Linked DNA regions of Arabidopsis thaliana. The protein of the gene in region 1 interacts with the protein of each later gene in a pairwise test. Each region holds a gene or a part of one and is shown in the gene's direction. Other genes may lie near its edges.

Region 1 (4,871 bases):
CGATACAATATAAGCAGTAACAAGTTCAGGAAAGAACGTGGTCTTTGAAGTTTTACTTGACACTAAGTTTAAGATAGAGAAAGAGTAACCTGTAACAAGTTCACGAGGTTGGAGTTGGACCAACATAATTAGCCTTGAGAAGGATGGAGTGAGCAACAAAATAGAGATCTGAAAGAAAAAGAGAAATAGTTTGCGTTTAAGTATGTAGTATAACTAACAGGAGTTAAAAAAAGGAAAAGCATTACCAAAAGGTTTCTATTCATTAGATTTTCTTATTTTCAGAACTTAGCAGAAGAGATCTACAGAAGAGGAAACATTCACAGAACATATGAAAGCTAAAGATGAGTCAAGATCATACTAGCCCAAAGAGTCCAAGAGGCCACCCTTTGACAGCAGCACCAATCGCTTCGGTACGTAAAGTCAACCCTGCTCCACAATACATGAAAAGAGTACACATTTGATAAGCTATTCGACAGAAACAAAGTGATTGCTTCCATCACCCTTTAACATAGAAAAAGAAGAAGAACAAAGCAATTGTACACTTATGCCACAGCTGATAGAATCACCTGATATAATAAATATCCCGCATGTGCTGATCTTAGTGAAAGAGTACTTGTCTGCAAGACAGCCTAGAGTCGGATTTGCAAAGCCCAACCCCACTCCACTAACAAGAGCTAACCAACAAAGCACAACATGAAATTGAAATGTCAAAAGTAACAAAGTGAGGCATAAGAGGTCACTAGAAGCATCACATTAAAGTGATAAGTAATCTTCATGGAAAATTGAATTTTGATGCAGTCAACCTTGTCATCAGACTTTAAAAGATCTAGCCTAAACTTTCATCTCAAGAATCGTTAGGGAAAATGAGGATTACGTGGAAAATTGGAAAGGAAAAAAAGGGCAAGAGCAATGTGTAATGTTACCTAGAGGCAAGAAATTATCTGAAGCAAAACTCAGCAATTCCTTGCCAAAATATAATCTTTGAGCTGAAGCTGAAATGCCTCCGTCACCACCAAGCTGTGAACACAAAAAAAAATCTCCACATTCACAATAAAGTTTGATCATTTACATGAATCCGATTCCATTCTCCACACGAACTTGGAATAAGCATAGAAGAATACATAAAATCGAATGGAAATTGACCAGAGACCTTGTCGGAAGGTTGGCATGCTCTAATGGATCTGGAAATCCATCGTCTACCACAGGGGTCTTGACAGCGACGGAAGACGACGGAGCGGTTCCCCGGAGACGGTGGTTGACGGAGACATAGAAAGGGGTTTTGGGTTGAAGCCAGGGTACTAGCTATCGCCATGGGAGTAGAGAGAATTAGAATCCAAAAGTGAGCAGAAGAATGATCAAAGTTTGGCTGCTTAGTTCTGCATTACTCAGTTCTCAAGTATCTCTCTCAGTTTAAACAAACTCCGGCTTATCGGAACCACTTCCTGTCTAGCTTCCCACTACCACTGGCTCCTGTTATTTATTTATTCTTTTAACTCAAAAAATATAGGAATATTCATTTTCAATTTGAACCAATCACAATGAGTTTGTCTTTCAGCCTCAAACAAACAATTGGGTCTAAACCCAATATTGGAGTAGATACATTGGGCCAAATCAGAGGGCATAAAATTAAACATAAAGGCTAAAGGAGAGCGAACCCAAGTAAATTAATCTCACTTATTTCAAGTGCATTATTATTATTTTAATTGTATCACCAACATTCATATCCCCTCTCACATGGCATTGATGAGCAGAATATGTCCAATGTATGTAGTAATGAAGTACATTTGTGTTATATAGCCCATTTGCTCAAATTAAATTGTAAGCAAAAAAAATTATTTTCAAATTATGTTCATTCCACAATTTATAGATCCGTTGAATCAACTGTATATAATTCGTATGTCCATAAATATTTTTAAGGAATCTAGTTCTCCTAAACTACTTAAAAGAAATAAAAATGCAATCAGAACTAGCATTTATAAGCCAAAAATACCAAATTACGGGCCCTGCTCAAGAAAGAAAAAAAAAAAAAAAAAGTGCTAAGCAGACCATAGAAGAGATATTTTGAGCTGTAGAAAAACTCAATGCACCATTAAGATTGCTTAAACCCCAAGCTTGTGACTTGTGAGGAGTTTAACAAAAAGTCGTCAAATCCTGATTACGACAAGGCACCTAATACTTTTTAGATTGCAAGAAAAAACAATATAAAACAATTATTTTGATCACATTAGCTTCTTACCCAATAACAAACCGCCACGTATGACTTCGCTTGTTCGATAAACAATCTCTCTGCTCCATATAACTGAATCAAAGACTTTCACACGAGATCAAGGAAGAAAGATCAAAACTCTTTCTTTCCTTTTTTTGTTGAAAATCAAATCTAAGAAATGGGTAACGCGATTAGGTTACTCCGGAAATGCTTGAATTCTCACGGCGTCTCCGCCTCTTCCGGCGGCGTCTCAGCTCTTTCTCGTGATCTCTTAAACTTCGAGACCACTTCTCAGGTCTCTCTCCATTGTTATTCTCCTAAATTTTCTTTTTTCTACAGCTAATATTTTAGTCTTGGATTTGTTCTTTAGCTCTGGTTTGAAACTCACTGTGAATTGTGTAAATCAATAGATTCATTTAAAATTTTGCTTAAGAGATTGATCAGGATCTAAAGATTCATTTTATTCTAGGTTCCTGAGAAGCTTGGGAGTTACGTTGTGTCTTCCCAAAAGGCTCAAGCAAACTGGTACAGATCATGCTAATGTTGTCTATAAAGATTTGAAAATGTTCATATTTTAATGTCTTTTTCTTCCAAAACATGTTTTAATTTGAAGGTATAGAAAAATACTTGAGGCATGGAAGCAAGCTAAGCCTCGGCCTAAAACTCCTGAGGAAGCCTCCAGGCTTGTTATCGCGGCTCTAAAGAACCATCAAAAAGCAGATGTTGAGGTATTAACTAATCATGATGGTTCTTTCAAGTTGCAAAAATGTCAAGGAGTTTTGGAGGATGCATTATTGATATAGTTGACTTGTTAATGGCATTGACAGGGACTTTTGTCTTTCTATGGACTACCTTCACCTCACAATCTCGTTGAGGTCCCTACGGAAGCTCCTGTGTCTTTACCTAAAGGAGTTCGGTTTGAGCTTAACACGCTTCCGGTTAGAAAACTTACGAATCTTTAAAAGGTTTGGGATATGATGGTAATGTTGTTGCTGCTGATCAAGAAATTTTCTAAATGAAATAAGGTGGATACAAAATCTGTGGCAGATGGTGATACTGTTACTGTGTATGTTAGTAGCAAAGACCCGCTTGTGTCATCTTCTCTTCCTAAGGACGTGAGTCTTGCAGCGGTTAAAAGAGCCAAAGCGCGTGAGAAGAAGAATTATACTGAAGCAGATGCACTTCACAAGACGATCATAGCTTCTGGTTACAGGTTTGTGTTTTATTGATATACTTCACAAGTTGATTATAAAGTCAAATCAAAATTGATCTACGAAATTCATAATTTTTCCTAACCTTTTTTTCATGTTATACTTAGGATGATAAGTTTTCAGAATGAGGAAGTGCTTGCTAAAAAGTTCAGAATTAGACTAAGGTAAAACACTCTTCCACTCTAGAGAGAACCTCATATTCAATCAAAAGCTATATGTAGAGTTAAAAATTTGGAATGAAAATGAATCAGCGGAATAGATTCACCGGAGAGCAAAATGCCGTATGGAAAAGAGGCGCATGATGAGCTACTCAAGATGGTTGAAGGGAAATGCTTGAAGGTGTTAGTATATACAGAGGATCGTTATGGAAGATGTGTAGGAGATATATACTGCAATGGAAAATTTGTACAGGAAGTAATGCTAAAGAAAGGTCTTGCTTGGCATTATGTAGCCTATGACAAGCGTGCAGAGCTCGCAAAGGCAAGCTTTTATAAACCTTTGTGCTTTTCATTTACAATTTTCTTTGATTATTCCTTCTGATGTTTAACGGTTTGTTTTGGTGTTTTGAATTCAGTGGGAAAATGAGGCTAGGCAAAAGCGCGTTGGCTTGTGGGCATCTTCTAATCCAGAGAAGCCATGGGAGTGGAGAAAGAACAAACGTGGAGGCAATTAATGATAACAAAACCAATAAAAACAACAATACAATACTATTCGATTATATGATTATTGTGAATTAAAGAACTTGTGATCTGTTGTTGTAATTGTAAGAGAAGTATGTATATGTTTTATGTATTGACAAGTATTTTTTTGGCAATAGAGAATTTCTCTTTGAACCTTGAGACAGAAGTTAGCTTAGTTGTTTCGTTTCTAAATATAAGGGTACATAGTTTATTTTTGGGGTTTAACAATCTTTGGTTGAGAATAAAAGTCTGAAAAAGTAAAAACCAATCTTACAATTTCAAATTTGTTTTTAGTTGATATATTGTTTTAAGAAAATGTGAAGAGGTGTTTTTGATAATTCTTCATCATCAGGAGGATTATCAAGGGCTCTAAATAAAGAGCCTTTCATAGTCTTTTGCAATCTTCTTCTTCGTCTTCTTCTTGAACTTTATTCGAAAATGCCGAAGAATAAAAAAACAGAATGGCAAGTAGGAGATCCCGCGATAAGCGTAGTGAGCGATCAATTCTGTAATCCATACCCAATGGATCTTTTGGTGAAGAGAAAAGTTCAGAATTTTTCTAAAGATTATTATGAAGTGTTTGATCCAAGTGGGAATCTGCTCCTACAAATTGATGGACAAGCTTGGGGGTTTAACCGTAAAAGAGTTATGCGTGATCCAGCCGGTTTCACAATCCTCTCAATGCGTCAAAAGGTTACAAAACATTTTAATTTTTCAACAAACATACATATAAAAATGACTCTTTCTTGAAATGGTGTATGATTGTTTAGGGAC
Region 2 (4,101 bases), about 17 Mb from region 1:
TGCCTCCACAAAAAGAAAACCATAGAACATTGAACAAAATGAAGACTAATCTTTTTCTCTTTCTCATCTTTTCACTTCTCCTATCATTATCCTCGGCCGAGCAATGTGGTCGCCAAGCTGGAGGAGCACTCTGCCCCAACGGTCTATGCTGCAGCGAGTTCGGCTGGTGCGGTAACACCGAACCATACTGTAAGCAGCCTGGCTGCCAAAGCCAGTGCACTCCCGGTGGTACTCCTCCTGGACCCACCGGCGATCTTTCGGGCATCATTTCAAGTTCTCAGTTCGATGATATGCTTAAGCATAGGAATGATGCCGCTTGTCCTGCTAGAGGTTTCTACACTTACAACGCCTTTATCACCGCTGCAAAGTCCTTCCCCGGTTTTGGCACCACCGGAGACACCGCCACGAGGAAGAAGGAGGTCGCCGCCTTCTTCGGCCAGACTTCCCATGAAACTACAGGTACCCAAAACTCATTAACAATTTGACGGAGATTGTTTCAAAACACAATTGCTAAATTTTGGTGTTTATTATTAAAACATCAGAATTTGAAGTTCTTTTTTTCTTCTGTAAAGAGTTTTGGATCCAAGTGCTCATATATACAAAGAACTACTATACTATATATATATATATATATATATATATATGTTTTATTGAAAAAATTATAGCTTCTCATATTTAGAAACGAAAGAAAAAAATCAAACAAAAACGCCAAACGCAAAGAAAAATGTTTTGGTCTTAGATGTTTGCGTTTACAATTAAAAAACTATTTTAAAAATATGAAATTCTTGATTAATCTAAACGCAAATAACCAATCAAGGAACTTACGAATATTCCAGTTTCCAAATTATACACTTTTGAATAATGTCAAGTTTGTGAGTTGTGACTATATATATAGCTATATACTAATTAATTAAGTGGACGGTTACGTCGTGCAGGTGGATGGGCTACAGCACCAGACGGACCATATTCATGGGGCTACTGTTTCAAGCAAGAACAGAATCCTGCTTCAGACTACTGTGAACCGAGCGCCACGTGGCCATGCGCATCTGGCAAACGCTACTACGGAAGAGGACCAATGCAACTGTCGTGGAACTACAATTACGGTCTATGCGGTAGAGCAATAGGAGTTGACTTACTCAACAACCCTGACCTTGTTGCCAACGACGCAGTGATCGCTTTCAAAGCCGCGATTTGGTTCTGGATGACTGCTCAGCCTCCCAAACCGTCTTGCCATGCCGTGATAGCCGGCCAGTGGCAGCCTTCAGACGCCGACCGTGCCGCCGGGAGATTACCGGGTTATGGAGTGATTACGAACATCATTAACGGTGGATTGGAGTGTGGACGTGGCCAAGACGGGAGAGTCGCCGATCGTATAGGGTTTTATCAGAGGTATTGTAACATATTTGGTGTTAATCCTGGTGGTAATCTTGATTGTTACAACCAAAGATCCTTCGTTAACGGCCTCCTCGAAGCTGCTATTTAGTAACGAGAGTATTATTATTATAATATAATACGCAGCTTTGTATTATCAAAACAATAATATCAGACTAATAAAACTCTTTCCAATGATGTTTCACTGTTTATGTTGCGATTTTATTTCCCATGGGCCTTTTTTAATTGGGCTCTCTAGCAGATGAGAGAAAGACGAAGAAAGGTGCATAGATGTTTTAAACTTCGATTACAAGTAAAGGTGTTTGACAATTTCTGTGTGACTCTGCCGACACGTTTCGTATAACGTGCCGCTATCCTCAGCAACGTTTTCATGTGTAATCCAGATTGGTATGAATTTCTATTTAAAATGTTGGTAGCTTAACCGATTGAGGCCAAATCAAACCAATCTATAACTCGAATCGGTACTCTTTTCTTACAAATGATTCGATTCAATTGGCATCCAATCAAATGTAAACCTTTTTTGTTTTAAATCGTAAGAATATTTTCATAAATCAGAGCCTAAACTTAAAACTGTACCAACAAAACCAACATCAAACCAAATGGACACCTTAATCCGGTACACGGCGAATTAACTGTAGAGGATAAAATCAACAATTCGACGAGTAAAACGAAAAATATCTAAAAATACAGGGCACCGAACCAAATAAAGGTGAGAATGATGAGAAGCCGTTTCTTACTCTTCATTGTTTTCTTCTCTCTATCCCTCTTCATTTCCTCTCTGATCGCCAGTGATTTAGGCTTCTGCAACGAAGAGATGGCTTTAGTCGGAGGTGTTGGCGATGTCCCTGCTAATCAGAACAGTGGTGAGGTTGAGAGCCTCGCTCGTTTCGCTGTCGATGAACACAACAAGAAAGAGGTTCCAAATCTCTCATCATCTTCGATTTTTTCACATCTCTCGTCTCGATATGTGTGTTTTATGCTATTATAGTCTTGATCCAGAACACGATTAGACTAATTTTGTCCGGAGTTTCTCTATTGATCTCAATTTCAGTTACCAGCAGATCTTAGAGAGTGTATATTATTCGGTGATGAAATGCGTTCATGTTGTGGGATTGATTGATTGATTGATTTTTTGGTTTGTTCTGTCTTTGGTCGTCGTAGAATGCACTTCTTGAGTTTGCGAGAGTTGTGAAGGCGAAAGAACAAGTTGTAGCCGGAACACTGCATCACCTGACTCTGGAGATTCTCGAGGCAGGACAGAAGAAGCTTTACGAAGCCAAAGTGTGGGTCAAGCCGTGGTTGAACTTTAAAGAGTTACAGGAGTTCAAGCCTGCCAGTGATGCCCCTGCTATCACTTCCTCCGATCTTGGCTGCAAGCAAGGTGTGAATTTGAGTAGTTACTGATAAGAACATTATAATGTCAGGGGATATATATGTAGCAAGTCAGAGATTGTGGGTTAGGAAAGAGTTTGGTTATGAAAATTGGGTTTTGTGGATCAGGTGAACATGAATCTGGATGGAGGGAAGTTCCCGGAGATGATCCAGAAGTGAAGCATGTTGCTGAGCAGGCTGTCAAGACCATTCAGCAGAGGTCTAACTCCTTGTTCCCTTATGAACTTCTGGAGGTTGTGCATGCTAAAGCTGAGGTATGGCTTTAATTTACTATATACTCTATCTTCGATCTTAATTGCACAAAATGAATTTCAATAGAGAACTTGTCAGATTTTGACAATGTTTTTGCATGAATTTCATCTGAGAAATTGCAAATAAACGAAATCAAGTGTCAGTGAAACCGAATGGTGTTGAAGTTTTAGAAGTAGAAAAGACTTTAAGCAACATATTGGTTCTCCTTGGTATGAGGACTAACGTCTGAGTTGTAATAGTTGGTGATTACAAGATTAATGAGCTTAATATTAAAAACATGGACACAGGTAACCGGCGAGGCTGCAAAATACAACATGCTACTGAAGTTGAAGAGGGGAGAAAAAGAGGAAAAGTTCAAGGTGGAAGTTCACAAGAACCATGAAGGTGCTCTTCATCTCAACCACGCGGAGCAACACCATGACTAGTCCCTCTCCTTTGTTTATGTACTTTTGAGTGTTTACTTACTCTGTAAGATATTTTAACTTCTGATGTAAAACTCTAAAACCTTAAATAACAAATCAGGAGAATAAATTAAGTTTCATAGAGTGCATGCAATCTTTGGTTCATACAATAAATGGAAACAGGAGAAGATTTTGATGACAGAAGAAGCATTTTCTAGACAAACTGCTAAACGCTGCTACTCTATATATCCTATAGTGCTGTTATGACTTAGCCTTCTTCGTCATAATCTTCCTCATCCTCGTCTATCCTCTTACCCAGACTAGCAAGCTGTGCTGGATCCATTTTGCTTATGTCCATCATAGGCCAGCCCGAATACTCCTCAGAGTCTGTTGCTGCAGTTGTGGTTGTGGTTGTGCCTGTGGCTGGTGCCAGTTTGGTCTCGTTTAGGTCGAGGGATTCAGCGTTGAGATCAAAGTCAATGCCTTCTTTGGGACTTTGAAGGTGTTGCTTGGTGTCTTCGTTCGATGCTGCTGTGCCGTCGATGCCTTTCTTCTCATCCTCTTGTGGTGATGACTCTGACGCATGCATCTTGACATTGTCTTCTGGTGGTGGCTGTCCAGAATTGGCGGCTTCTACTTCCATCTCGCGGTTGAGACCCTCTCT

Evidence for each region.
Region 2: the proteins of CAN (region 1) and CYSB interact in binary tests that used the Arabidopsis thaliana proteins (3 or more experiments, as listed by UniProt).

Annotation. Positions count from the first base shown.
Region 1 is NC_003074.8:20,840,230-20,845,100, forward strand, and holds CAN (Ca-2+ dependent nuclease), read left to right. Parts: upstream 1-1,915; 5' UTR 1,916-2,033; intron 2,034-2,191; 5' UTR 2,192-2,384; coding exon 2,385-2,501; intron 2,502-2,675; coding exon 2,676-2,731; intron 2,732-2,819; coding exon 2,820-2,934; intron 2,935-3,033; coding exon 3,034-3,144; intron 3,145-3,231; coding exon 3,232-3,419; intron 3,420-3,524; coding exon 3,525-3,581; intron 3,582-3,668; coding exon 3,669-3,897; intron 3,898-3,991; coding exon 3,992-4,090; 3' UTR 4,091-4,308; downstream 4,309-4,871. Other genes in the region: AT3G56160 (Sodium Bile acid symporter family), read right to left, coding at 90-168, 359-426, 567-674, 924-1,017, 1,070-1,312; AT3G56180 (LURP-one-like protein (DUF567)), read left to right, coding at 4,536-4,790, 4,868-4,871. UniProt on the Arabidopsis thaliana protein: Enzyme that catalyzes the hydrolysis of both DNA and RNA at the 5' position of the phosphodiester bond. Possesses activity toward the single-stranded DNA, double-stranded DNA and RNA. May be involved in genomic DNA degradation during programmed cell death.
Region 2 is NC_003074.8:3,959,883-3,963,983, reverse strand, and holds CYSB (cystatin B), read left to right. Parts: upstream 1-2,063; 5' UTR 2,064-2,107; coding exon 2,108-2,308; intron 2,309-2,553; coding exon 2,554-2,773; intron 2,774-2,892; coding exon 2,893-3,038; intron 3,039-3,058; exon of another isoform or gene 3,059-3,173; coding exon of another isoform or gene 3,174-3,182; exon of another isoform or gene 3,183-3,323; coding exon 3,324-3,461; 3' UTR 3,462-3,583; downstream 3,584-4,101. Other genes in the region: HCHIB (basic chitinase), read left to right, coding at 1-459, 936-1,483; NF-YC11 (nuclear factor Y, subunit C11), read right to left, coding at 3,706-4,101.